7 linked regions of the Ovis aries genome follow. The protein of the gene in region 5 purifies or fractionates together with the protein of the main gene of each other region. This does not show direct contact. Links are inferred from orthologs where the notes say so. Each region holds a gene or a part of one and is shown on either strand. Other genes may lie near its edges.

Region 1 (3,500 bases), on a different chromosome or scaffold from region 5:
GTCACAAACAATTGGACACGACTGAGTAGCTGAACAACAAAAGCATATTTTTAGATAAGAGTTCTTTGTAGGGAATGGGGGGGTGGGGGTGGGGATATGAGTTTAGAAGTTTCAGCCTGACCTGTGGCTAACCCTGCTGGAAAATTCAGAAACCCAACAAGGACATACGGTGTGACATGCAACACCAAAATACACAGACAACTTTGCAAGAAATATCCTAATTCAGAGAGAAAATGAGGCTGAAGCCATGCAGTCATCTCTGCCACATGGCTCTGCCAGATTCAACTCAAAAGCAGAGACAGTCAGAAGGAAGAGGGGAAAGCAAGGCGGGACTACGTTTACATCTCATTCCTCTTTCCCTTCCTAACACATGCCAAGAAGAAACCGAAAACGTTTACTTTAAAGACTTACTTAGCCACTGTTTCTCAGGCCGGACTTTGCAGATACGCCAACAGCTAAAAATAGCCCAACCTTCCACTATAAATATTAAAAATGTATGATCCCACATAGAATATTAAGGAGAACAGTCTTCAAAGCTCAATGCGGTAGGAGATACCAGAAAATCTGAAAGACGGTAAGTAGACTTTGAAGCCTTAAAAAGATAAAATAACAATAAGCATTTCCACTTCAGAAAAAAATCAATCATACCCATTTAGAAAAAGAAATGAGATCATGAAGACAGCTGAAAGCAGAGAAGGAAAACAGACCACTAAGACGCATCCAGACCCATCAGGCCCCCATGGGGGGAGATGCCCGTTCCCAGGTCAAGACACTCACAAAGCTCGGCTCCTTGTTCAAACAGGCCTCCACGAACTCCTTGAGGGGTTTGCTGTAGTTCCCTTCCAGCGTCGGGGGGTTGTTCTTTGGGATAAGGAATAGGACCTTCATGGGATGCAGCTCGGAATGCGGCGGCTCCCCCTTGGCAAGCTCGATGGCCGTGATGCCCAGGGACCAGATGTCCGCCTGCAACAGCGAAACACAGCTAGTTAGTTACACATTCGGAGGGGAGGCGGTTCAAAGAAACGTACTTCCTAGAAGGTAAAAAACAAAACCAAAAACTAATGTGCTTCTGAGGTCTTGAATAAGATACTCATTCTTAACTGAAAAAAATTTGTTAAAGATAAAGCCTTTGGTGTAACTTCAAAAAAGGCAACACACAGGAGGACATGTAATAATATCATCTTCTGCCTCGACGTGGAAGCTGGCTCTGATGATTACACCTCTTCCCTTTGCTGCCAGAGGTGGGAGACGTTCCACGTTTGTTTAAGTCCCTGAGTCAACAGGACAGGCAACCTGAGGTCAGTGGAGACGGCATGTCTGGGGACCACAGCACGTTTGCAGCCACCACGTCCAGAGATGCTTAGAAGCCAGCCCTTAAGCCACAACAGGATGAAATGAGATCCCTGTTCCCAGGCGGCCAGGCCAGGAGCCTGGGCCCAACCCTTGGAACTTCTCTTTGGTCCTCCTATATCAACCAGCTGCCAGGTGTGTGGCTCTTGACCTCTTGGCGCCCTGAGTCCCCATCTACCCCTCCTGCCTCCGGCTTAGTTCAGAAATGTCTTCTGTCCCTAGGGCTCCATGAGGGGCTCCAGAGTGGTCTTCCTGACTGCAGGCTCCGCCTGCATATATCTAACATCCTGCTGACTAACTTGGAAACCCTGACTGGCACTTGAATAAATGGCAAGCAATCTGGCATTATGCAGTCAAAGTCACAAAAATACCCACACTTGTTAAAGCCAACTAATTTCACGTCTAGGAATCGATCCTAAATAAATTTTATATTTAGAAAATGGTAAGGGATGCCTAAAATATTCAAAAACAGCATTACTTATGCTAAAACCTTAGAAGAATGACTATATTGCTATGACACATTAACTTGACTGAAGTATCAAATATTCAACACTGATGCTGATAGAGAATCAACTGAGTTTGTCTATTACGGTATCTAGGATTTACAACATCAGATTTTAAAATGTGTCTGAATTTTAAAATAAGAATTATATGGGAGAGGGCAATCATTTTTCAAGCAACTAAAATTGAGGTATAAGAGGAGACCTGTTTTACCATCGTTTGGGAAATCAGCTGTTAAGGGAAACCAACAGTGGTTTTCAAAAATGAGACTAAGTAAAAAAAAAATCACAGCTGAACTGCAGATATTTACTTGTGAACAGATTTTCTTTCCGTATGTGGTTAGTCCTGGGGAGCATTCTCCTAAAAGTGACAACGAAGAATTATCCGTTATTGATGAGCAGTGGGGGTGAGGGGACCCAAGAGGGGCACCAACAGCAGCTCTCAAAATCCTCGCAGTAACACTTAGTTAAGCAAAAGTCACCTGGCTACACCTCTGCAGACGAAATACAACTTTTTTTTTATGTATTAAAAAAATTTATGTATAGAAAATATTCTATGAAGAACCACAGAGGGGGACTTCCAGTGGTTAATCCATGGGTCCCTTGCAGGGAGTATGGGTTCGATCCCTGGTCAGGGAACTAAGATACCACACAGTGTGCGGGGCAGCCAGAAAAAAAAAAAAAGGAAGACAGGAGAAAAAAAAAAAAATGGAGAATCCCAAATAACAGTTATAACTAGTTAAAACACAGCCCAAAATGGATTTAATAGAAACTATTCAATAAGATGCAATATTCAGAAACACATTAAGTCGCACGAGAGGTATTGAAACCGTCTGAGACCGACTCCGTAGCAATACATGGCCCCACCATTACCTCACGCTTGGACAAAGCTGGATTCTTTCTCCGCTCACATCCTTCCCCTGTGTGCAAAGTGCATCCCTCCCAGCCAGGAGGTGGGAACTCCTGGCCCTGAGGATTGAGCCGGGGAGGCCATGGGCTGCCATCGGGACGGGAGGGTTGGTCACGTACCCAGTGGACCAGCTGGCTGTACACATTCCAACAGATGGGCCGGTCCTACCGTGTCTCCACTCATCTTTATTTTTCCATCAACACATCACCTGTTTTCATCCTTCACCATGGTGACTGCAAACAGTTATTTCGGACGCGACTGGACACCAAAATAACTTAGCTTGTGCTTGGGTATTAGGCCTACAGATGTTTTCCCCTTCGCTCATTTTTTCCAGTATTTTCCAGATTAAAGACTAAGTGCTGCTTTTGAGACCAAAAAAGGGGAAAGTTGTTTACAAGGAGAACACCAGTGCTGGCCGCTCAGCTTCCACAGGGGTTGCTAGCAGGGAAGTCGATCAACATTCCAGCACAAATGTCTCTCCTCTCCTCCCAGCTTGTCTCTGAAGGGCTGAGAAGCCCGCATCTGTGCAGCCCGACACCCTCTCGGCCCCGTGAACCAGCTCACAATCAGAGCCCCTGAAGCCCAGCGCCGCACTGGCTCACTGAAGCGTCAATCACCTGGCATGGCGCTGGGCTCAGCTACAGCAAGGGCAGAAGGGAATGAGCACAGAAGGGGGCAAGGTCCCCGCCCCAGTCCAGCCCACCCACGGACATCCTTCCCCTTAGAGAAACAGGGAAAAG
Region 2 (4,053 bases), on a different chromosome or scaffold from region 5:
GTTACAGCACATCGCTGCCTTCACTGTTCTGACGTTTTCTCACAATGTTTTGTCTTCTGGGTTAGTTCGGCTCTCCCTACCAAGCCCTCTCAGAGCCCCTTGCACTACTCCTTCATGGCACTTATCATAACTCATAATTATACATGCGCCTGTGCGTCTGTTTAGTGTCCATTCTTCTCACCCATGATTTCACAATGCTCAGCACAGTACTTGGCATGGGTGACTGAATGAAGAGCATATACTCAAATAACAACTTGTTGGATAAATGAACACTAAAGCTTCCATGTGTTCCATGCAATGAAATGATCATTCCACATGGTACTAAGGCTTTAGAAGCCTCGTTTCTTTCTGGCTAGTGGGCTATCAGGGAGAAGGCCATGGCACCCCACTCTAGTACTCCTGCCTAGAAAATCCCATGGACAGAGGAGCCTGGAAGGCTGCAGTCCATGGGATCGCTGAGGTCAGACACGACTGAGCGACTTCACTTTCACTTTTCACTTTCATGCATTGGAGAAGGAAATGGCAACCCACTCCAGTGTTCTTGCCTGGAGAATCCCAGGGACGGGGGAGCCTGGGCTTCCGTCTATGGGGTCACACAGAGTCGGACACGACTGAAGTGACTTAGCAAGTGGGCTATCAACAGCTCAGTACAAAATAAGTATTGACACCCTCAGTCTTCCTGCCTTTCTCTCAAATTTCAGCAAGAACTGACAGAGAAGGCAGCAGCTGAACAGAAATGGTTTCCCTCCCACACATAGGAGAGATTATGGCAAAGAATCTTTTTACTGCTGGAAATAAGTGAGTACTGAGAACACACCATCTGGGAAGCCTTGTTCTGGGAAAAGAACAGAGGTGAAGAAAAAGGTAGTCCTCAGCTTAATTACTATCTACTTGGGAAGACAATGACCACCCACAAAATGACATAACATACCCTCAAACATGAGTAACATAAATAACTCTACTTCTTATTCAGAGGCAACAGGCTGCACAGTTTCATAAGTTCCTGAGCTTCAGTTTCTTCATTTATGTAATGAGGATGACAAAAATCTATCTTGAAGGTTTTTTAAGGACTAATTAAAACGATGCCGCACAGTGGGCTCTCGTCAAATACCTGCCTCCCTGTTCTGCAGGCACGCCTCTGGCTCCCAGCCTACTGATTTCAGCTTTGACTCAAAAGAGAGCTGTATCAGTATTTCTAAGAAAATAGATTCTGACAGGTCTCTCAGCTTAAATGTGTTCACTGAATGACCTTCCATGTGTTGAATCTATATAGAAATTAAAGGGTAGAAAGTACATTTAATAGAAACACTTAGGAAAATTGTTAACTACTGAACAACTACGATGCCTCTGATGATGAAACTGGATTCATCCCTACCACTTTTAAAATCCTCCATACTTGAAAAATTATTAAGCAGTCACCACTGATGTGCAATCAGCCCATCATGCAAGGGCTACTAAAAGGTCGGTTTCATTGCTTTTTCAAATAATTCACTTCAAGCTCAAAGTGCATCTGACTGGAACTTGTCAAATTTTGATGTTTGACCAGAGGTTTGTTCTTGCCAACAAAACCAAGAGCTTGAGAGGTACTGATTTCAGGTGTCTAAAGATAGCATCATCACTCAGGTATGACCTGATACATTATATCTGGACAAGAAAAAATGCCCTCTCATTAATAAGCATCTGACTGTTAATCAGCCTCAGGGTTGTCTCAGGTGAAAGAAATTTCCTAGTAAGTGCTCTGGGAACATGCTGATTAAGAAGCCCTAAAACGCTGCTACGTGTGTGTCTTCATTCATGAATTCTACAATGGAATGCAGTGGGAGTAATTCTTCAACTCGGGGTGAGGTGACTAGTCAGCTCCAGACTACGGTGTCTCCGGAATGGGAGGAACAGCCCACTAAACAAGAGAAGAGAGATGTTGAGCCTCAACGCCTGTTTAATTTATTTCTGATCTTTAACAGTTGAGCATCGGGTGGACTGGGCACACCAACCACCGGGCACTGTCTAACCGTGGCCTGAATCTGCAGTGGCTAAGCTCAGAGCAGAACAAGACTGCTCCCCTTTCCAACCATCGCGACCTACAGGCGCGTAGTATTGATACTATTAGTGCTAATTAATTAGCTCAGTCCTTCTCGGAGGTGCCTTCCCAACCCTCGCCAGTCCTTTCCCAGCCCACACATGCCCGCCACCGTGCGCCGCGGAACTCACAGGACCAGAAGCTGGAGATGATTAGGGGGTCTGGGGTGTAGCCGCCCCGCCCTCTAGAGCGCACGCAGGTCACTGACTCTTCACCCGAGAAATGGGGCACGGGGCGGACTTCCCAGGGGCTGGAGCCCGGAGACCGCGCCCACAGCCCGGACCTCAGAAAAGCCAATACGGGCTCCGGGAGGTTCTCCCGGTCGGCAGAGCTCGGGTCGGGGACCCCAGCTTCACGCCTCCGACTCCCGGGGATGTCAGCCTTGCTTCCTGCTCCTTTCGCTGTAAATGACAACTCCCCTGCCGAACCCTCCAGGAAACCCAGCCTGGACCCGAAAGTGGCCCAGAAATGGGGCCGGGGTCCACCGCCGCCGCCCGCCTGGTGCTAGCCTCGCCCCCCGAAGCTCCTGACCTCCGAGTCTTTTCGCTGGTTGCGGTTGAACTCTCGGGCTTTGCCACCAGGCAGGAGACCTCCGGCGGTCCGCGGTGCCCCAGGTGGAGGCTGCGCGGTTGCAGGCGGCGGAGGTGGCGGCGGCTGAGGCTGCTTGTTGTTCATGATCAGCGGGCCGGGAGTGCCGGCTACCGGCTCCATCTTGGCGGCTCCACACCCCCGGCTCAATTCACTGACTATGGCTGTGATGCAACTCTCGCGTGATTTCGTCCCGGAACGCGCCCTGGTCGCCATATTAAGTGTGGCGGCACATGCCAGCGCCATCTTGACTGTCCAACACCTCGCGAGATTTTCTCTGTTTGTGAAATCTTACCCTTCTAGTTTGTGTTTCGGTTCCAGTTTAGAGATCGCAGTTTTATCTGCAAAACCTCCCTTAGCCCCTCAGCCAGTTTAGTGGAACCCCCCTCTTTCCTTTAACATCGCTTTGCTCTTGTTACTTTCACAGATCTGTCCAAAGCTTGCGGGATATTGTAGAGAACAAAATGGACACGATCCCAGCCTTCATGGAGATTACGTTCACGTGGGGGAGACGTGGGAAAGGAATGAGTAAATCAATGAAACAATTACAGTTACGACATTCTTTTAATCATTCATTCAACAAACATTTAATGAATGTCTCTTAGACTAAAGGCAGTGCAAGAGAATGGGGAACAAAATCAAGTTCCTACACTAATGAAAAAAGTGAAATGATCTGTAACATAGAGCCTGTGGGTGAGCCAGACAATGCGCTCACAAATAAGTGCTGAGAAGAAACGAAAGAAACTGTAAGGCATTGGAAGGTGACAGTGATCGAGGTACAGCTGGGCTATGTTAGGTAGGCTGCTTAGGGAAGGAGGGGCTGAGAGTGATTTTGAATGAGTTCTGAAAGAAGTGAGGGAGAGCCATGCCAATATCCATGGAGGTAACATAGAGGGACCAGCTAACTGCAGAGCCTCCTAGGTGGCTTGGCAGGAACTGAGTGAGCCAGGAGAAGAACAGTAGGAGATGAGGGCCGTGTAAATGCAGGGGCCAGATAAATATAGGGCCTAGAAAAGCATAGAAAGTACTCTGGATTTTATTTTAAGTAAAATGGAAAACCATCAGAAAGTGCTGACCTGCTGCTGCTTTTGGAGAAAGCATTGGGGTGTTGCAAGAGTAGGTGAGGGTGGACAGGTTCAGAGACTATATAGATGGAAATGATGGTGTCTTACGCCAGGTTGGAACATTGGGTTGATGTGGTATTTCTGTATTGTGTAGGTAGATTTGCTGAAAGACTGGAATCCTATCAGCAGGATAGGAAGGAATAAAGGATGAGTCCTAAATTTTTGGCTTGAGCAGCTGGGTGGGTGGTTGTATTGCTTATTAAAATAGAGAAGTCAGAGGAAAATAGGTTTGGAGGAAGATCAAGATGTCTGTTTTGGACATGT
Region 3 (4,107 bases), on a different chromosome or scaffold from region 5:
TTCCCAGCCCTCCCACTTCTTAATTATGTGATATTTGGGTCAAATTATTCAAGCTCACTGAGCCTTTTTTTGCATTTCAGTAAAATGGAAGAAAGGTAATATGACCTCAGAGGGCCCTTGTGAAGATTCAGTAAGGCAAGACACACACACACACACACACACACACGCACACACACACATAGCACTTAGCGGTCCCTGACAGAAAATGGAACTCATTAACGATAGCTAAATATATTGATAACAATGACATGCTATCTTTTGAGACAGATTCAAAAGGAACAAGAGAAACATTTCTCGTCTGCCAGAGCCCCAACACCATGGTGGGTACAGCCCTACAATAACCTGCAAGTCAGGGAACTCCATCCTCATTTTAAACTGGCACTTGTGGTTTCCCAAAGGTGCCTTCCTAATGAGATGACTGCAATTGCTATTATTATTATTTTTAATCTCGTTACTGTTAGGTTACTCTCCGAAGAGTCTACCTCCCTGCTGGAGTGGAACTTCAAATGGGGTGGAGGCAGGGACTTGCCGAAACCACTGCTCTGTATGCTGAATTCAATAATACGTCCTGCGAATGACCCAATCTCATTTCCCAGGCCTCTATTTCCTCATTCATTTTTCTGCCTAGGTGCCATCTGTTTTCCAACTTCCGTCTCTCTTACACGTGCTTGTGATGCGGAGAAGCCCCAGTCTGATCGCCCTCCCCCACAACCGCCCAACTGGTAGCCCAAGAGGTAGGGGTAACCCCAGTTCTAAGGCACCTGAAGCCTGACGGGGGGCGGGGAATCCGGAAAGAGGAGAGCGGCCACGGACCCCGCCCAGCGGCGCGGCCCCAGCTGGGGACACGCGGGGGAGAGCAGGGGTCCGCTGACTCGGACTCGGCGGCTCTCTGCGCCCCCGCCCTCGACCACGTCGAGGACTCGAGAAGGAATTCCGACGCCCGCCAAGTTTCAACTCAACACTTCTCCGAGGCTGCGCCGCCCGTGCCCTCGCAAGCCTGCCTGCAACGTGGCCGCGCCCGGGACGCCCTCGGACCCCGCGGGTCACCCGAACTCTTCCCTTCTCTCTCCAGGCCGAGCCGTGCTCCACGCCCTCCAGTCCCCGAGCTCTCCTCTCCGTGGGCCAGGAGAGCCTCCCTCTTGTCGGGCTCCAGGAGCCCCAGCCGAGCCCCTTCCCAGCGCAGTCCTAGCTCTCCTGACACCGCCCGGCGGCGGGGCGGGGGCAGGGCCAGCGGCGGAACCGCCCCCAACCGCCTCCCGGGCCCGGCGAGCGGGCGGGTGGCTGGGGCGCCTCCACCTCCTCTTCCTAAAGCGGCGAGGCGCAGACGAGCGGCATCACTGGAGCCCAGGTCCCGGCCACTGCCACACACGGCGTCGGGCGCTCAGGAGCAACAGCAGCGGCAGCGGAGGCGGCGGCCAGAGCGGCGGGCGGGCGCCAGAAAGGTAGACTGAGTCCCGGGGAGCCTCGCGGCGGACCGCCCACCTCCCGGCCCCGGGCCGCGCGCGCCCCCCGCCCTGTCACCCAACTCGTGTGTGTCCTTCCAGGCCCGGGTCGAAAAGCCTGAGAGGGCCGCCGACCTACCCCCGGAGGAGGAGCCAGTCGCAGCCCGAGGCGCCGCCGCCGCCGAAGCCGCGCGGAGCCGCTTTCGCCTTCATGGCCCACTCACCGGTGGCGGTCCAAGTGCCCGGGATGCAGGTGAGGACGCCCGGGCCGCCCCCGCCGTCCACGTGACTGCCCGGGAGCTCGGGGCGCGCTCCGCGCTGGGCGCCGGCGACGAGAGGCGGCCCGGGGCTTCCCCGACCGAAGCCGGGCCGGGCGCTCCGGCCAGGTGACCCGGACGGAGAGCTCTCGGTGTTTCCCGGCGTGTAAGCTAGGCGGTGCAGTGTGCCGGCCGGGCGCGGAGGGACTGGGGCGCGCGGCTCTTTGGGGATGCCGGGGGCTGCGGGGGGGGTGTTAAAACAGGCAGGGGCGGGACACCTGCGCCGGCTGAGCTGGTGCGCTTGTGGGGGTGGGAATGGAAGCACTTCACTTGGAAGAGATGGAGGTGTCTCGGAATTCGTTGGGTAAAACGCAAGTGGTGCTTACACACACACACAAGTTGGGGCGGAGCAAGGCAAGGGGGTGTCGGTGGTGGCGGCTTTGAATTGGGCTCTTCCTGTGTGCGTAGAGCAAAGAGCGAGGTGACTTTTTTCCCCTTTTGGGGCTGCTGCTTTGGGGCCAAGTTGTGTCTCGCTCCCCCCACCGGGCGCAGCCCGTAGTGGGGTGTGAGAAACGCAGGGTCCTAAGTTAGAGCAGCGGTGGTGATGACTCTCCCGCCCCCGCCCCCGCCCCCGCCCCCGCCCCCGCCCCCGCCCCCAGCCTTTCCCACCGGAGGGCTGTGGCAGTGTGGTTGTTGCAAAGCTTTTTGTCCTGGACGACAAGATATTACGGCCTGGGACCTAACTTTTTATCTTTTACATCTTACCAGCCCTCCCCCCTTACATTTTCATTTTATTAAAGAAGAAACAAGCTATGTCCACAAACTTTCTGCATTGTTAGGTTTTTGAATCGGTGCATTTCAAGCTATCTACTAAATGTTATCCAAGTTGAGTAGCTTTTAAGCATTCACGTTTTATTTTTTTTCCTTTGCTAGACAGCCTAAACACCCCCACTTATGAATAGGTAAAAGACTAGAAGCACTTAAGCCTCATTATCTTCTAAAAATGTGAAAGCAAACGTTTTCTAAGTTCAGAAAAAAATGTTTGGTAAATAGCTATGTTGCTAGTAGAAATCAAAGCGCCATGGATTGGGGCCTTAATTTACTAAATAATGCATGGAATTCATCTTAAAAAAAATAACAGTTGGTCATATTTGATGCATGATCACACGAAAAAAGTGATTTTTAAAGTGCTTTCCCCCCAAAGGACTGTTTGTATCGGACATATATCTAACTTAGGACTCCTGTGTGTCCTAGGCACCAGGCCTTTCAGCTAAATATAGGATAAGTCTGGGTTGAGTCCCAGGAAATCGATGTAGTTCATTAAAAAAAAAAAAAAAAAAGAAAAGGAAGCAAAAGGGAAATGCGAGACATTAGGGCCTTTTAAAAGGTTAATCCATTCAAGCTTTACAAAATGCCTCAAACTTCCTTCTTCTCACGCCACCCTCTCCTTCCCTCCCTCCTTCCCCCCAGCCACTGCCCCTCACCCCATTCATTCAGTTCTGCCTTTGATTATGTCGAGAGAATTAGTAGTTTGCCTTATCAACTACAGTTTTGCTCTGTCTGATGTGGAAGAAAGTGGGGAAACTTTCCCACCGTGCTCTCCTTTCCTTTGGGGAGTAGAAGAGTCCGCATGTGAAGTTTGTCTCTGAGTGTCTCAGTACTCCTCGCTCCATTGTGTGCACGCGCTGCCTGCGTGCGTGCGTCAGCAGAGTGAGCACCTCCCGATCAAGTTTGATTCTGGGGAACCCTGCGTGCTGAGGAGAAAATGGTTTCTGGTCTTTATTTCATTTGTCTTGACTTTATTTGATTTATATGGTTTCTGGTCCTTATTTGATTTGGCTTTATTTGATTTACATGGTTTAGGAACTCCTTACTGTTCAGTATTTCTTATGGCTCCTTGCTTTGTTTCATTATCTGATTTCCCTATCTTTTGAATTTTTTAATTTTTAAAAATCTTCATTAAGGTGGGTTAGAATGTGAGTCTCATATTTTAAATGATAAATTCTGCCTTTCATTTTATTCCTACCCAAAGTTGTGATGGCTTTGGGAAGGGCAATCATCTCAACATTTGCCAAGAAGAGAGGAATACTTGTCACTGTCTCTGTCTGAATGAAATGGTAAATTCTTACCTTCTTATTTCCATGCTCTCTGTAGATGTGGTTCTTAAGCATTTGGGGCAACAAACAGGTTTTCCACAGTTAAAATTGTGGGGTATCCTAAAAACAAATTTGATGATTAGCAGCGTGACTCTCATGCCTAGACTACTGTGACTATTCTTTTGTTTAAAAGTAGTGAAAATGAGATGCAGGAATATATCACGAGCTTGTAAAAATTTTTTCTGCAAGAGTTAGGAGCAACTTTTAGATCTTCACAGTAGTGAGAAAACTTGAGTTAGCCATGTGTTCCTG
Region 4 (3,337 bases), on a different chromosome or scaffold from region 5:
AACCAGTGGTTCTGTCTAGCCACAGTCCCCAGCCTGCTCTGCCGCGGCCCTGATGATCCTGAGAGCTCCTGGCCCACTCTTCTCACGCGTCAATCACTGCCCACGCTGTGTGTATTACCTCGTTTAGTCTTCATTCCTGCCCCGCTCAATCTAGAGTCTGTTACCCCATTTTACAGTCCTGCAATCTGAGACTGGGCACCTACTCAAGGCCACACAGCTATTAATGGAAGGACAAGGATCTGGACGCAGGCAGTCTGGCACCAAGGCACCTGCTCTAACCACCACACACTCAGCCAGCCTCTGTGAAACCTAAGTGCACCTCAGGACTCCGCTGGCCCCTGGGGCCAGGGGCACTCCCATCGGCTTCCCAGGGAATCCTCCTCACTCGCAAGGACAGGGATGCGGCAAGTCCAGTCAGTCCTCGCCAGACAGAAGCGCAAGGCTGGGGCCCTGAGGTGGTGCCCCCTTCTCCATCTAGTGACTAAGACCAGAGGACCAGCTATTTCTAGACCTTTATTTCTCTGTGAAAAGGGGGGCAAGGGAATAAAATAAAAACAGCACAATTGACACAAAAAACCCACCGAGAGGAAGGGAGGGAGGTGGAGATGGGGGAGGGGTCCCCATACAGCAGCAGGAGCCGGCGACCTGGGATGCTCCCGCCTCACCCCAAAGGGCGGGAGTGGCCCCTTCCTCCCAGGGTCTCTGCTCTGTCCCACCTTGTGCGCCCCCAGCCCCGTGGGGGGGTGGATGTCCCAGGCTGAGGGAGGAACCGTGCCGGGGAAGGGACCTGGGGTCAGACCATGCACAGGGAGTGACAGCCAAAGGCCCCCACTGTCCCCCCAGGGAGGAGCCTGGAGGGGGAGGGCGGACACCGGAGGCTGGCGGTGGCTCCTCTTCCAGCATCAGGCAAGAGACAGAACTGGGGGAACAGGAAGAGACGGGAGTCAGAAGGCAGCCAGCCCGCTGCCCACAGCCGCTCCCAGGCCAAGCATCGCCCTCGCAGACCCCCACCCGCTCCTGCCAGCGTCTCGGATTCCTGACGCCTCACCAGTCAGAGCCTCCTGGGCAAAGTACTTGACGTCCACGTCCTGGTCCTGGGTCAGCTTCTCGAGGACGGGCTTGACCTCACTCTGCAGCGTGCTGGGAAGAGAGGGGAAAGGCGAGGGGTCAGAAAGGTGGGGCTGCTGGGTGTCTGCACAGACGCAGACACACAGGTGCACGAGAGCTCTCAGGGCCAGAGCAACCAGTACTTGGAAGGCTGAAAGTCTCACAAACCAGGACAGAGGCCTCGGGGGCCCAGAATAGGTATAGGGAGGTGAGGTGGTGTGGAAAGGTGGGGCAGAAAACCCAGAACCCTCAAGTCTCTGAGCCTCGGCCACGTGACGCCTTGTATTTGTGTAACATTATATACCGAGGCCTACTGCCCATCAGGTGTGGACACAGTGGAAAACCCAACCCTCCTGACTCTCACCCACACGGAGCCCAGACTGGGAGAAGGCAGATCAAATTGCTGACAAGTAACAGGAGAGGCGAGCACCTGAGGGAGGGACTCGGCCCTACAGGGGCCCAGGGAGGTAAGGGCCGAGGGAAATGCTTCTGCAGCGGCAGTCAGCTGTTTGGGGGACGAAGGCGGTCTTCAGAGAGAAGCTAAGGGGTGAAGCTGTGTCCTGGACAGACAGGTGCAGGCGTCCCAAGGCCCTTCCCCCAAAATAACCACCATTCTCACTTCCATCGCCTGCGTCCCCCTTGATCCATTTTTGAAGTTGATACAAATGCAATCGTGTGTGGAGGAGGGGCAGGCCTCACCTGTTGTCCAGGATGGGCCCGATCTTCTGCAGGGACTTGGCCACGTTGAAGCGGACATTGGCGACAGGGTCCCCGGCCATGCGCAGCACGGTGGGCAACATGTGCTTGGTGGTGATGTCCTGCCCGCAGACCTCGGACAGCACCTGCAGGCCAGGGAGCAGCAGAGGGTGACTCCCCAGAGTCCTCGCTCCCTCTGACCGGGACACTTAGTGGCCATCGGGCTTGGGGATAAAACTAGCTGAGCATCAGGGGGACTCTGAGCTCAGACTCGCCCAGCCTGAGGGCCTTGATTCTCCACAAGTTCCCAGGTTCCCTAACACCCTCTTCACTCCACCATCTCCCTGCCCTGAAAACCCCCAGCCCACACTGTCCCACCCCAGCTCCCTTCCTCAGAGTCTCCCTCATCCTCTGGGGATGGGACTGGATTCCTGACCCTGGGATCCCTTCCTTAGTGCTGTGGTCTCCAGAGTGATGCACAGGAAGGGATTACCGGAACAATTTTATGCTAACTTTTAAATCTCATTCTTTAATTTGTAGTTATGTGGTTTAAGTGGTTTTAAGTTTATTTAAGTGTATGGTTTATTTACGTGACTACATACAAGTACTTTCTACTGTATTTATCTATCAGTACTTTCTACTGTATTTATTTATCACACATTTACATATCACACACACAGCATACATATCACACACACAGCATACATATCACACACACAGCATACATATGCATCACATACACACCATACATTACATACCACACACACACAGCATACATATCACACACACACCATATATACACACAGCATACGTTACGTGTCACACACACACACCCCATACGTTATGTATTACATACACACTATACATATGCATATTACATACACACCATACATTACATATGAACCACTGTTCTAAGCTGTATAACCAGATCAATGTCACAGCCTCGGGAGTCTGGGGCTGTGATTGTTGGTATGAACCCTTTACAGGTGAGAAAACTGAGGCACTAAGTAATTTTCTCAAGGTGCACAGTCAATATGTGGCAGAGCTAGAATTAAACAGTAGGTCTGATTCTAGAAACTGTGCTTTAACCGTTGTATCATAAATATCACTTATTTTGTGAGGAAGGAGGGGGTGCTCAGACAGACCTGGCCATCACTGTTCTGTTGGCCAAATTTCCCCAGTCACCCCCACGCAGGTCCCCACCTGCAAAGGCCCTATACTCTGACCAGGGAGCCCCAAGTTCCAGCCTGCAGTTCCCCAAGGACTAACCCCTACGGCCCCAGATCCCATCACTTTCCTACTCCCAAGCCAGCTTTCCCCCGAGGACCTTCTCCATTCCTCCTCTCCCGTCTACTTCCCCTCCCCCAGGGAGAGGTGGGGGCCGGTGGGCGCTCACATTGATACAGAAGAGTGTGGTCATGCGGTGCAGGTAGTTGGGGTCCCCAGACATGGCCAAGACCTTGGGGATGATAGTTGCGTGGGCCCACTCCTTCCCGAACTTCTCCACCAGCTTCTTCAGGTTGCTGGTGGCCGC
Region 5 (3,500 bases):
CATCTCAAATCTTTCACAGCTTTCTCTAGACTTTGCTTTTTTATTTTCTTTCAACATCTGTTGCAACCATTTATTTTTACTGTAAGACATTTTTTTCTGTTTTTAAATGTAATTTTACTCTAAAAAAATCTGATGTTCTATAGTTAGTGGAATTGATGGGAGATATGGAGATATAGGGGCTTCCCTGGTGGCTCAGATGGTAAAGAATCTGCAGTGTAGGAGACCCAGGTTCAGTCCCTGGGTCAGAAAGTGGCTAACCACTCCAGTATTCTTGCCTGGAGAATCCCATGGGCAGAGGAGCCTGGAGGGCTGCAGTCTGTGGGGCCACAAAGAGTCAGACACAACTGAGCAACTAACACTCACTCAGAGAGAGATGAAAGTAAAGTGAAAGTGAAGTCGCTCAGTCGTGTCCGACTGTTTGCGACCCTGTGGACTGTAGCCCGTCAGGCTTCTCTGTCCATGGGATTCTCCTGACAAGAATACTGGAGTGGGTTGCCATTTCCTTCTCCAGGGGATCTTCCCAACCCAGGGATCGAACCCGGGTCTCCTACATTGCAGGCAGACGCTTTATCCTCTGAGCCACCAGGGAAGCCCCCCATAGAGATACAGTGAATTCTCCATAGAGATACAGTGACCCCCATATAAATAAGAAAGCTGTACTGTTGCCTAGCTCTGCTGCTGCTGCCAAGTCACTTCAGTCGTGTCCGACTCTGTGTGACCCCATAGACGGCAGCCCACCAGGCTGCCCCATCCCTGGGATTCTCTAGGCAAGAATACTGGAGAAAGCTGTACTGTTGCCTAGCTCTAATTTTAGGTAATTCCAGAAGGGCAAGGCCTTGTTGGAGGACATCTTAGATAGATTTTAATGACTGTCCTTTCGTGTTTTAACCTACAGTAAGAATTGGTTCCTTTAGTGGCCCCTTTTGCTGTTGTATTTTGAAGTGCCCTTATCTAAATCTCCTAAATCTTTGAAGACAAATATTTTGGTTGTTTTATCTAGAGAGACAGAAGTTGTATTAATTTCCAGCTTAATTCTTAAAGATCTCTGGAAATGTCTGGTCATATAGGGAACATTTTATAAATTGGCAGTTTTATTTTATTTTGATTAAATCTTTTTATTCAGCTTTGAACCTGTTTATAAAAACAGGACAATATACTCTCTGCTTCAGCTGTTGGGTACAACCAAGAATACTGTTTGAATTTTTTTCATCTTTATTTAATTTGCAATTTTTAATCTTTGCTAGGTATAATCTTAATGAAAGCCTGCTAAAATGGTGGGATGTGTTGTATTTTCTTTCTTTTAAAATGTTACACAGTTGGGTTATTTAAATCTCTTGCTGCATTTTTCTGTATCTGAGGGGCTAACAATTAACCTAACGAGTCCCATGTAGTAGTATCTTAAAAAGACCTATATTCTGTCTTCCTAAACTTGGTGAAAATCCTTAATTATAGCCCTTAACTTTGTTCTACACATGAGTTTTAATTTAATTGCTATAGATTTGGCTTATGACATAGAAACATTACAAAGTAATTTTATTTTTTGAGAAAATCGTAAAGGGTGGCTCGTATATTAACAGAAAATAAGGCAAAACAGTAGAAAGAGAAAAATTCAAGAGTGATCAGTGTCAGAATGTTAAAGTTTTTGAGAGATTTTAAAATAAAAATTTTGTTTTGAGGTCTCGGCGTATCAGTTGAAGAAGCTAACTGTTGGCTGTGTTATGTTTTGTCTCCTGGCCTTTCAGCCTCTTTTATACATTTGAGTCACTGACTTTAACGTATCAGAAGCTTCCCGTAATGGCCAGTGTTGCTCTAAGTTAGCACTTCCTTTGCCATTTACTAAGGAAAGTGCGAGAGTTAGAATTACTGAGAATTTTCCTATGAGAAGCTGAAGTTCCTCCAGAAGGAGGTTGATCCTTTAGTGTAGCATGACACGTAGAGGCCGCTTTGCCTGGTTAGTAGTGTACGTTTGTGGATGGTGTCTGAGGTCACCTGACCAAGCGGAGGCTAGGAGGGGTCATATGGTCGGAGACCTGACAGTCACTGACTGCAGAATACAAAATAATAAAATGACCTTTTTTCACAAATGGCAAGATAGGGATTGCCCTCACGAAGAGTGCAATTTCTATATAACATTCAGTTCAGTTGCTCAGTCTTGTCCGACTCTTTGCAACCCCGTGGACTGCAGCTGCCAGGCTTCTCTGTCCATCACCAACTCCCGGAGCTTGCTCAAACTCACGTCCATCGAGTCGGTGATGCCATCCAACCATCTCATCCTCTGTTGTCCCCTTCTCCTGCCTTCAATGTTTCCCAGCATCAGGGTCTTTTCCAGTGAGTCACTTCTTCCCATCAGGTGGCCAAAGTATTGGAGTTTTCAACTTCAGCATCAGTCCTTCCAGTGAATATTCAGGATTGACTGATTTGATCACCTTGCAGTCCAAGTCAAGAGTCTTCTCTAACACCACAGTTCAAAAGCATCAGTTCTTCAGTGCGCTGAAGAATCCACCTACAATGTGGGAGCCGCGGGAGACATGGGTTTGATCCCTAGGTTGAGAAGGTCCCCTGCAGAAGGGAATGGCAACCCACTCCACTATTCTTGCCTGAAGAATCCTATGAATAGAGGAGTCTATATAACATAAAATGTATTTAGTGAATGTACACTTTTGTCCCCACTGTATATTCAGGGTGTTTTAAATACGTTCTGATTTTGTTCTCAAACTTATATATATATATATATATATACATATATACATGTATATATGTATATATATATATATGTAAAGTAAGTAAAGTCACTCAGTCGTGTCCGACTCTTTGTGACTCCGGGGACTGCAGCCCACCAGGCTCCTCAGTCCATGGGATTCTCCAGGCAAGAATACTGGAGTGGGTTGCCATTTCTTTCTCCAGGGGATCTTCCCAACCCAGGTCTCCCGCACTGGAGGCAGACGCTTTAAACTCTGAGCCACCAGGGAAGCCCTATGTGTGTATATATATATACATACATACATACATACATACATATATATATATACACACACATACATATATATATAATGTGTATATATAAACACATATATGTATATATGTAGTATATAATTATATATATTTATATATGTTGTGTATAATTTCTTGAATATTATAAAATCACTTTCAAGTTTGTTCCATCTTAACAGGATCAAAACCACATGTGTTCTTAGATGGTTTTCATCCTGAGACAGTGAACGATTCAGTAACAAATATAGCTTAAGCATAATGTGTGTTAAAGTGGAACTAGAATAAGATTGATATGCCAGCTTTCTTTTGAATCTGTTTTTCGTTTTTAACCCTGTGTATTCCTTTAGAAATGAGTTGCACCATTGAGAAGGCACTTGCTGACGCTAAAGCCCTTGTTGAAAGGTTGAGAGACCACGACGATGCAGCAGAATCTTTGATTGAGCAAACCACTGCTCTCAATAAGCGAGTAGAGGCTATGAAGCAGGTTTGATTTTTTTTTCCCCCTGTTG
Region 6 (3,500 bases), about 100 Mb from region 5:
TTCTCTGTTAAAGACACCTGATCTACATGAAGATTCACTTGGTTTTAGCAATATCCAGTTGAGCTGTCTGATGAACGTCTAGGTGTGACAGCTGGAATGTCACTGATTGTTTTCAAATTGGGCAGGAGATATTCTCTGTCAGTAGTAAAACTTCTGTCCTCTCCTCCATTTGACGTTCATTTCTACTCTTTAATAAAAAGAGGTATCTATCACTGTAGAAGGGCCCTTGCTGGTAGATGCTGGGTTCTGGACCACGTAATCCAAGGAAGAAAGAGAAAGTACCAAGTGGGATCAGGACTAGCTTGGTGACTGATAAAAGGGGTTTATACCAACTCATGTCTGTCCGTGCTTACAGAGGAACCAAGGGGCCAAGGGAAGTTTAGCAGATAAGTGAGAGCAGCAACAGTACCCCTTCAGTCTAGACATTTTGGTCAAGATCAAAAGAAAGGATCAAAGAGAGGTCTCTTGCCCCCACCGGCTCCAGCATAAGGCCAAACCTAGTAAACAATGGGGAAGGATTGGGGTTGGGGTTTGACGGTTTTAAACATGACTATGCCTGCTTACAACAACAGAAACCTCCAGCGCAGACAAAGGGTTCTCAAAATTTAAGTTATTTAAAACACCAAATAAAGATTATAATCAGCATTCACAAACCATTTCTCCCTAAGGGTCAGTTTTTCAACCTAAATTAGCTTATGAGTATGAAGGCAAAAACATCCTAAATTACATAACATGGTAAGGAAAAAAATTAGAAGAGATATTTGAGGAATTTAACAGCAAATAATAAAGTAAGGCTTTCTCTGCTGAAAAATATTAATTAAATTATTCAAATACAGTTAAAGTAGAATATTCTCACTTTTTGGCTGGGGCTGTTTTCTGCAAATTCCACATTTTTAACGTGTGATCCTCTGATGCTGTTATCAAAACAGGCTCAGTGGGGTGGAAAGCGAGAGCTCTAATACCATCAAAGTGACTTCTTAATGTAAACTTGGGGTTCCATGTCTTCCTCAATGCATCTTTATTATTTGCTATCTATTAAAGAAAAAAAAGATACCAATATACTTAGTTCAGAATGAGGGAAAAAACTGTATTTCAGCATTAATTCTTACTGTTTCATCATTAAACTACCATTATTTTGCAACTTTCAAAATAATGTAATTTTTAAGCAGATAACCAAATCAATAGGCAAAATTAGCAATATGTCAACAATGGTTTTCTTTGAAGAAATATGAATGCTATAATAAGAAAATACATAATTCAGTATAGAAGGAGGATCAAATAACTTAGTAACAAAAAACAAAATTTCACTAGGATGCTTTTTAAAAAGACAAGTGATTTAAACCTGAATTATAGAATATAAAGCAATTCTGGTTAAGAGTTGAAAAACTAAATTATCTTTAAGCATGTTAACATTACAGAATATGATGATACTTTCAAAGTTTTCAGTGGTTTCAGACAAGAGCTAAATTTTCTTCAAATTGGTAATGAAGTTTATATACTGACAACAAAATGTTAAAATTGGAAAAGACAATCAGATATTACGAACATAATTATATATTTACTATGTTCCTTTTCTCCACAGAGGGCTTCCCTGGTAGCTCAGATGGTACAGAATCTGCCTGCAACACGGGAGATCTGGGTTCGATCCCTGGGTTGGGAAGATTCCCTGGAGAAGGGAACAGCAACTTACTCCAGTATTCTTGCCTGGAAAATCCCCATGGACAGAGGAGCCTGGTAGATTACAGTCCATGGGGTCACAAACAGTCGGACTCAACTGAGTGACTTTCACTTTCTCCACAGAATCTCAATCTCAATAACTGAAAAAATAATGCACTGTTTTTTCATTCCAACTAATAGAAAAGCTAAAGAGGATAGTGTTTGACTTTACACAAGCACCATGGATGAACTTCACACTCCAAGGCTAACAATCATGGTAGATTTAAGCAAGTATTTGTAATATATTAGAGAAATGTTACCATACTCACAGTTACAAAAATTATCAATGATACAACAACTGATATTCTATACAGCATTCATTATTTTCTACATTATTCAAAAGACTTAAAAAGCATTAACTCACTTAATCCTCACAACTCTATGATGTTGGAATTAACAGTATCCTCACTTTACAGACTAGCCATTTTAGGGAAAGAGAAGTTAAGTGACTTGCCATCTAGTAAATGGAGGAGTCAGGATTCAAAATCAAGCAATCTGGTTTCAGAGGCTATACTATTAAACTGTAATTTAGAACCCAGACATTTAAAAATCTGCAGAGAAATCTGGACAGGACATGTCACAACTGGGGCAATTCATGCGTGCTAAGTTGTTCCAGTTGTGTCTGACTATTTGCGACCCAATGAACCATAGCCCACTAGGTTCTCTGTCCATGGGGCTCTCCAGGCAAGAATACTTGAGTGGGTTGCCATGCCCTCCTCCAGGGGATCTTCCGGACTCAGGGATCAAACCCAGGTCTCTTTTGTCTCCTGCACCGGCAGGCAGGTTCTTTACCATTAGCGCCACCTGGGAAGCAATGAGTGAAAACAAAACACATTATGCAAGGAACTACTCTAAGAATGGGGCCGATTATTTTGAGGGCAGGCAGGGCTGGCAGGAAGGTTAGGACGACAAGGGCAACCGAGCTGACCTCTTTTATTCTTATAAAAGAGCTAAAAGGTTTTCATGTGGAAGAGTACTTAAATTCCTTTGATTATCTTGATGTGGTAGGCAGCCACTAAGTTCCCAGTCAGCCCCACCTATTTTTACCTTTGGGTAGTCCCCCTCCCTGATGGCTCCGATGGTAAAGAACCTCCCTGGAATGTGGGAGACGCAGGTTCATTCCCTGGAGAAGGAAACGGCTACCCACTCCAGTATACTTGCCCAGAGCATCCCATGGACAGAGAAGCCTGGCAGGCTATAGTCCATGGGGTCATAAAGGGTTGGATACAACTGAGCAACTAACACTTTCACGCTTCCACATTATAGGCATGCTCTGTGATCAACAGCATACAGCAGAAGTTGGAATAAACTACTTCCAAAATTAGGTTATAAAACCTTTCATCTCGAGTGTTTCTGCTCCCTATCTTTTTAGGTGCACTCACATTGGGAAAAGCCAGCTGCTCTGTTGAGGAGCCCACAGAGAGGTCCATGCGGTGAGGAACTGGTTCCCAGACAACAGTCAGCAAGAAACCAAGGCCTTCAAACAACTACATGAGTGAGCCTGGAAGCAATTTTCCCCAAGTCAAGTCTAGGTAAGACTGCAGCCCTTGTCAATGTCTTGATTACAACCATACAAACAGCCAGTCACATAATTAAGCTGTCCCCAGACTGCTGACCCATGGAAGCTGTGAGATATCAACGTTTGTTCTTCTAAGCTGTTAAATGTGGTACAAGTTGTTATGCAGCAATAGATTGCTAATATGCTTAATAAAACTAGGAACTACTTTTAGAAACTGAGACAGACTAACACTAAGTTTTCTAACAATTAAGTTATGAAAAAAGGA
Region 7 (4,031 bases), on a different chromosome or scaffold from region 5:
GTTTAAATCTATTCATGCTTCATGTAAACTCTCCCAATACATTTTCCATACATTTTAAAATGGACATCTCACAAGCATTCTTACTAAAGACTTTGGACATGTAAAACAAATTCAATATTCCAAATTAACTAAGTAGCCCAATAAAACATTATAGAGAAATATAAAGAAGAAAAACACACAATCATGAACATTTTGTTCCAAAAGAATCAGTGTGACATAATAAAAATTCCTAGGGGGAAAAAAATCAAGAGTCTAGACAAACACCGTATAACTTCTTCAAAGTAAGTAAACAAAAAGTTTAAAATGGCTATATCCGAACTAATGTGCCAACAGTAGATACACTGAAAGCAAGCAAGCAAAATGAATTTTCCTTAAAAGACTTCTGTTAAGAGGAGAATTAGAAGGCAAACCAAAAGCTAAGGTAAACAATGTAGACCTCAAGTTGCACAGATTTTTACTAATTCAGACACAAGTAAGACATTTTGTGAAGCTTACCAATGACTAATGTTTTCACTAACTTAGAAAGTGTTTAAATTAAAGCTTTTCCACAACAGTACAAAGGTTATAAATGCTGTATTAGGGACTGGTGAAGTATTATTTAGTGAGCCTAGGCTTCAATGCATTTGTAAATGCAGTTTTCAGAAATAAATGCCTTTTGCACATGGTGTTAATAGAAAGTTGTTCATCAACAGAATTGTTTGTCCCAGATATTTTAAAGCAGAGCACACAGAAAAGAAACAACACTTTTGATATATTTTTAAAAGCCCAATAGTGTATCAAAGCACTAAAACGCTGAATTGCCAACTTGATAAAGTGAATTCACTTTTTTGATAAAGTGTCAAAATATATGTCTTACTTTTAAAAAGTTTTGACTTTCCCCACTTTGTAGAGACAAAAAGTCGACTGGTTCAATATCAAACTGAAGATATATGTATTTGTTTCAGGACAACCCTTTTAAGCTAATCCAATCTTCTTTCAACGTTACATTTCCCTAATCATTCACCCCAGACATATATGACACGTATATCAGTGAACAATACCACATACACTCTAAATATACAGCAGTCTGAAGAACAGGTGCAGCACTATTTAGATGCCTGCTTTTTTCCTTCTAAGCCTAAATTTGCCTTGGAAAGTGATTTTAAAATAAACACAAACATCCGAAAGAGTTGAACAATCCTGTTAAAAAGATGTAGCTCTTCTGAAATCCAAGACATAAGCCCTTAAACTACCAACATCTTCCAAAAGTTAGGTGAACCAATATCTCAAAAGTTTCACCTTAAGACCGAGTCCGGCTCAATTATGAAGGCTCCTAAGGATATTTAACTCTGCTGCCCCTGTGCGAGCTGGTAACATGAAACAAATACGTTTTACTCCAAGCTAACATTAAATCTTTTCTCAATCGTTTCCTGAGGACGGCACAGATAGTCTGGTTTGGCGTTTTGTGTGTAAAGATGGGAATGGAGGAGAGGAAGGCCTGGTGAAGGGTACTCTAAAAGAAAAAGTCGGTACAGAGCAGCGTTGATGAGTCAGTCACTAAGGACGAACTCAAAGGGAATCGAAGTGAATAAGGCAGCATCCCAGGTAAAAAGGTACTTAAAAGTTGGCGGTAGGAAATGAAAACTTCACAGGTCAGCCGCAAGCCATTGTGCGCGGCAGCAGCCCTGGAAAGAAGCGTGGCTGTCAAAGAGTAAGGGCTCCCAACTCCGGGGGAGGGGGGCAGTCACGCCAAATCGGAAACAGGGGGGTGATCCGGGAAAAGGTGGTAAAATCCCCAACCCAGTCCCTCTCCTCGGGTTCTCCATCTTAAGAGGCAGAAACAGGAGCCAGCGCAGTGCCCGACAGCCCCACGCCGGATTCTCCCACAGAGAGGAACTCGGCCCCAAACCCCGGAGGCCCGCGCAGAACGCCTCCGGAGGAGCCCCCGCAGACGCCATACTAAAAGCCAAAATGGCTGCCCCAAGGAAGCCCGCACCGCGCAGCCAGTGAGGTCTGGGTAACAAGCTTCTGCGGGAAAGGGGGAGGGGGGTTCTAGAAGAGCCGTCTCCAGGACTATCGCCCCCCGAGCTGCACAGGTAGGTTCCTCTCGGTCTCCCAAGGCCTCGAGTTCCGAATGAGGGGAGTCCCGGCCCCACCCCCCCCACCCCCGGCCGGGAACCCAGCCGCCGCAGCCGTCCCGCATACCGACCCCAGCGAGGTACCTGTAGTTCGGCCCGCTCCACCTCCCAGTGCGCCCGCTCCATCTCGAACCGAGCCCACTCGTGCTGGATGTAGTGCAGGATCCCTGGGATAGTGTACTGCTGCGGCCGGGACAGCTCGGGGCCTGCCGTGGGACCCGCTCCCTCGGCGGCCGGAGGACCCCCGCCGCCCGCCGCTCCATTCCCCCCTGGCGAAAGGCTCATGTTCCCCCCGGGTCCTTGCTGCTGCCGTGGAGGGGACGCCATCGCCGGGCCGCCACCACCGCCTCCGGCGAGCTCGTCCATTGTGTGTGGGGCCCCGGCCGGGGCGCAGGGCGAGACGCCGACGGCTGGGGGAAGGGCCGGAGAGGGTGGCCCCGCGCTAGCGGCGGGGCGGAGGCCGGCAGAGAGAGGGGCAGGGAGGGGGTCGTTGCTGTATGCCTGCCGTGGGTCAGAGCAGGGAGCTGCCGGCCGCCGCCATTACAGTCCCTCCTCCATCTGCCCGTCTCACTCACTCACTTTAGGGGAAGGGGGGGCCGCGGCGGGAGTGGGAAGCGGGGGCAGGGTTGGGAAGGGGATAGACGTAGGGCCGCCGCTCCCGCGCAGCATGCTGGGTAGAGAACGCCGATGCCGCCGCTCGCCTACTAGCCAAATAGAGTCCGGCCTCACCCTACGCAGGCGTACTGAGGACGCAGTCGGCCTGCCGTTAGAGGCGGAGAAAGAGCTCGGCCCCGCCCCTAGGCCAGCCCCCAGGCTCGCTGGAGGTGTCTGGTGGCCGGGACCGGATTGTGGGTCACCGTCTCCGACATTTGGGAGGGAGTCGGTTTCTGCCTTTTCAGGAGTGGGTTTCCCTCGCTCAGCCAATCCACTCAGCGCCATTTCCCACTCAAGAGTCTCAGAGGCGCTTCTGCCTTCGGAGTTGGGTTTTAACCTGAGTGGTCCCTCTAGCCGGCCGCAGCCGGTCCCGGATTCCTGACGTTTCTTTTGCATTCCTTGCGTGTTTCTGGCAGTCCCAGAGGATCGGGCCTCTTTCTCTGCTTGTCACCCGCTCTTTCTCTGGTTTCCTAGCACCAGTCAGTTCCCGGGGCTTTGGGGACGTTCTCTTTTGACAAATAGCCCAGATCCTCTAGGAAGTGAAGACTGATTCCCTGTCTCCGGGCTCTGGTTCCAAAGTCTGTGCTCCCCCCAGTCGCAAGTTGCAACCTGTACCACTTTGCCTCACTGTTTTCCAGTTCTGGGGTGGGCTGTGTTTGGGGCGTTTGAGAGAGGAGCAGGAGCGATTGTTTTCATTTTTCTCTTGGGAGAAGGGAAGGTGAAAAACTTTAGATCTTGATAGTGGATAGAGGGAGAAAGAAAACTTAAAGGAGGCTGATTAACAGACGTTTTAGAAGTGAATGGGGCTCACAAATATTGTCATTCATAGCAGAATCTTTTTATTTATTTATTTCAATTGGAGGCTAATTACTTTACAGTATTGTAGTGGTTTTGCCATACATTGACATGAGTCAGCCATGGGTGTACATGTGTTCCCCATCCTGAGCCCCCCCTCCCCCACCTCCCTCCCCATCCCATCCCTCTGGGTCATCCCAGTGCTCCAGCCCGAAGCACCCTGTCTCATGCGTCAAACCTGGACTGGTGATCTGTTTCACATACGATAATATACATGTTTCAATGCTATTCTCTCAAATCATCCCACCCCCACGTTCTCCCACAGAGTCCAAAAGACTGTTCTATACATCTGTGTCTCTTTTGCTGTCTCGCATATAGGGTTGTCGTTTCCATCTTTCTAAATTCCATATATATGCGTTAGTATACTGTATGGGTGTTTTTCTTTCTGGCTTACTTCACTCTGTA

What was found.
Region 1: the proteins of FGFR1OP2 (region 5) and STK24 purify together in Homo sapiens (affinity purification with mass spectrometry; 4 studies listed by BioGRID and IntAct, with this or other methods). This does not show direct contact. The link is inferred for Ovis aries from reciprocal best matches to the Homo sapiens genes FGFR1OP2 and STK24.
Region 2: the proteins of FGFR1OP2 (region 5) and STRIP1 purify together in Homo sapiens (affinity purification with mass spectrometry; 3 studies listed by BioGRID and IntAct, with this or other methods). This does not show direct contact. The link is inferred for Ovis aries from reciprocal best matches to the Homo sapiens genes FGFR1OP2 and STRIP1.
Region 3: the proteins of FGFR1OP2 (region 5) and STK26 purify together in Homo sapiens (affinity purification with mass spectrometry; 4 studies listed by BioGRID and IntAct, with this or other methods). This does not show direct contact. The link is inferred for Ovis aries from reciprocal best matches to the Homo sapiens genes FGFR1OP2 and STK26.
Region 4: the proteins of FGFR1OP2 (region 5) and PPP2R1A purify together in Homo sapiens (affinity purification with mass spectrometry; 5 studies listed by BioGRID and IntAct, with this or other methods). This does not show direct contact. The link is inferred for Ovis aries from reciprocal best matches to the Homo sapiens genes FGFR1OP2 and PPP2R1A.
Region 6: the proteins of FGFR1OP2 (region 5) and STRN purify together in Homo sapiens (affinity purification with mass spectrometry; 4 studies listed by BioGRID and IntAct, with this or other methods). This does not show direct contact. The link is inferred for Ovis aries from reciprocal best matches to the Homo sapiens genes FGFR1OP2 and STRN.
Region 7: the proteins of FGFR1OP2 (region 5) and STRN3 purify together in Homo sapiens (affinity purification with mass spectrometry; 5 studies listed by BioGRID and IntAct, with this or other methods). This does not show direct contact. The link is inferred for Ovis aries from reciprocal best matches to the Homo sapiens genes FGFR1OP2 and STRN3.

What each region holds. Positions count from the first base shown.
Region 1 is NC_056063.1:74,810,233-74,813,732, forward strand, and holds part of STK24 (serine/threonine-protein kinase 24), read right to left. Parts: intron 964-3,500; coding exon 778-963; intron 1-777. UniProt on the Homo sapiens protein: Serine/threonine-protein kinase that acts on both serine and threonine residues and promotes apoptosis in response to stress stimuli and caspase activation.
Region 2 is NC_056054.1:87,345,645-87,349,697, reverse strand, and holds the start of STRIP1 (striatin-interacting protein 1), read right to left. Parts: upstream 2,801-4,053; 5' UTR 2,789-2,800; coding exon 2,609-2,788; intron 1-2,608. UniProt on the Homo sapiens protein: Plays a role in the regulation of cell morphology and cytoskeletal organization. Required in the cortical actin filament dynamics and cell shape. Part of the striatin-interacting phosphatase and kinase (STRIPAK) complexes.
Region 3 is NC_056080.1:102,852,749-102,856,855, reverse strand, and holds the start of STK26 (serine/threonine-protein kinase 26), read left to right. Parts: upstream 1-1,307; 5' UTR 1,308-1,442; intron 1,443-1,544; 5' UTR 1,545-1,653; coding exon 1,654-1,695; intron 1,696-4,107. UniProt on the Homo sapiens protein: Serine/threonine-protein kinase that acts as a mediator of cell growth. Modulates apoptosis. In association with STK24 negatively regulates Golgi reorientation in polarized cell migration upon RHO activation.
Region 4 is NC_056067.1:58,174,942-58,178,278, reverse strand, and holds the end of PPP2R1A (serine/threonine-protein phosphatase 2A 65 kDa regulatory subunit A alpha isoform), read right to left. Parts: coding exon 3,200-3,337; intron 1,950-3,199; coding exon 1,807-1,949; intron 1,141-1,806; coding exon 1,049-1,140; intron 920-1,048; coding exon 903-919; 3' UTR 501-902; downstream 1-500. UniProt on the Homo sapiens protein: The PR65 subunit of protein phosphatase 2A serves as a scaffolding molecule to coordinate the assembly of the catalytic subunit and a variable regulatory B subunit.
Region 5 is NC_056056.1:188,458,376-188,461,875, reverse strand, and holds part of FGFR1OP2 (FGFR1 oncogene partner 2), read left to right. Parts: intron 1-3,338; 5' UTR 3,339-3,340; coding exon 3,341-3,475; intron 3,476-3,500. UniProt on the Homo sapiens protein: May be involved in wound healing pathway.
Region 6 is NC_056056.1:87,162,962-87,166,461, reverse strand, and holds part of STRN (striatin), read right to left. Parts: intron 1,033-3,500; coding exon 857-1,032; intron 1-856. UniProt on the Homo sapiens protein: Calmodulin-binding scaffolding protein which is the center of the striatin-interacting phosphatase and kinase (STRIPAK) complexes.
Region 7 is NC_056071.1:39,429,698-39,433,728, forward strand, and holds the start of STRN3 (striatin-3), read right to left. Parts: upstream 2,801-4,031; 5' UTR 2,484-2,800; coding exon 2,202-2,483; intron 2,076-2,201; exon of another isoform or gene 1,941-2,075; intron 1-1,940. UniProt on the Homo sapiens protein: Calmodulin-binding scaffolding protein which is the center of the striatin-interacting phosphatase and kinase (STRIPAK) complexes.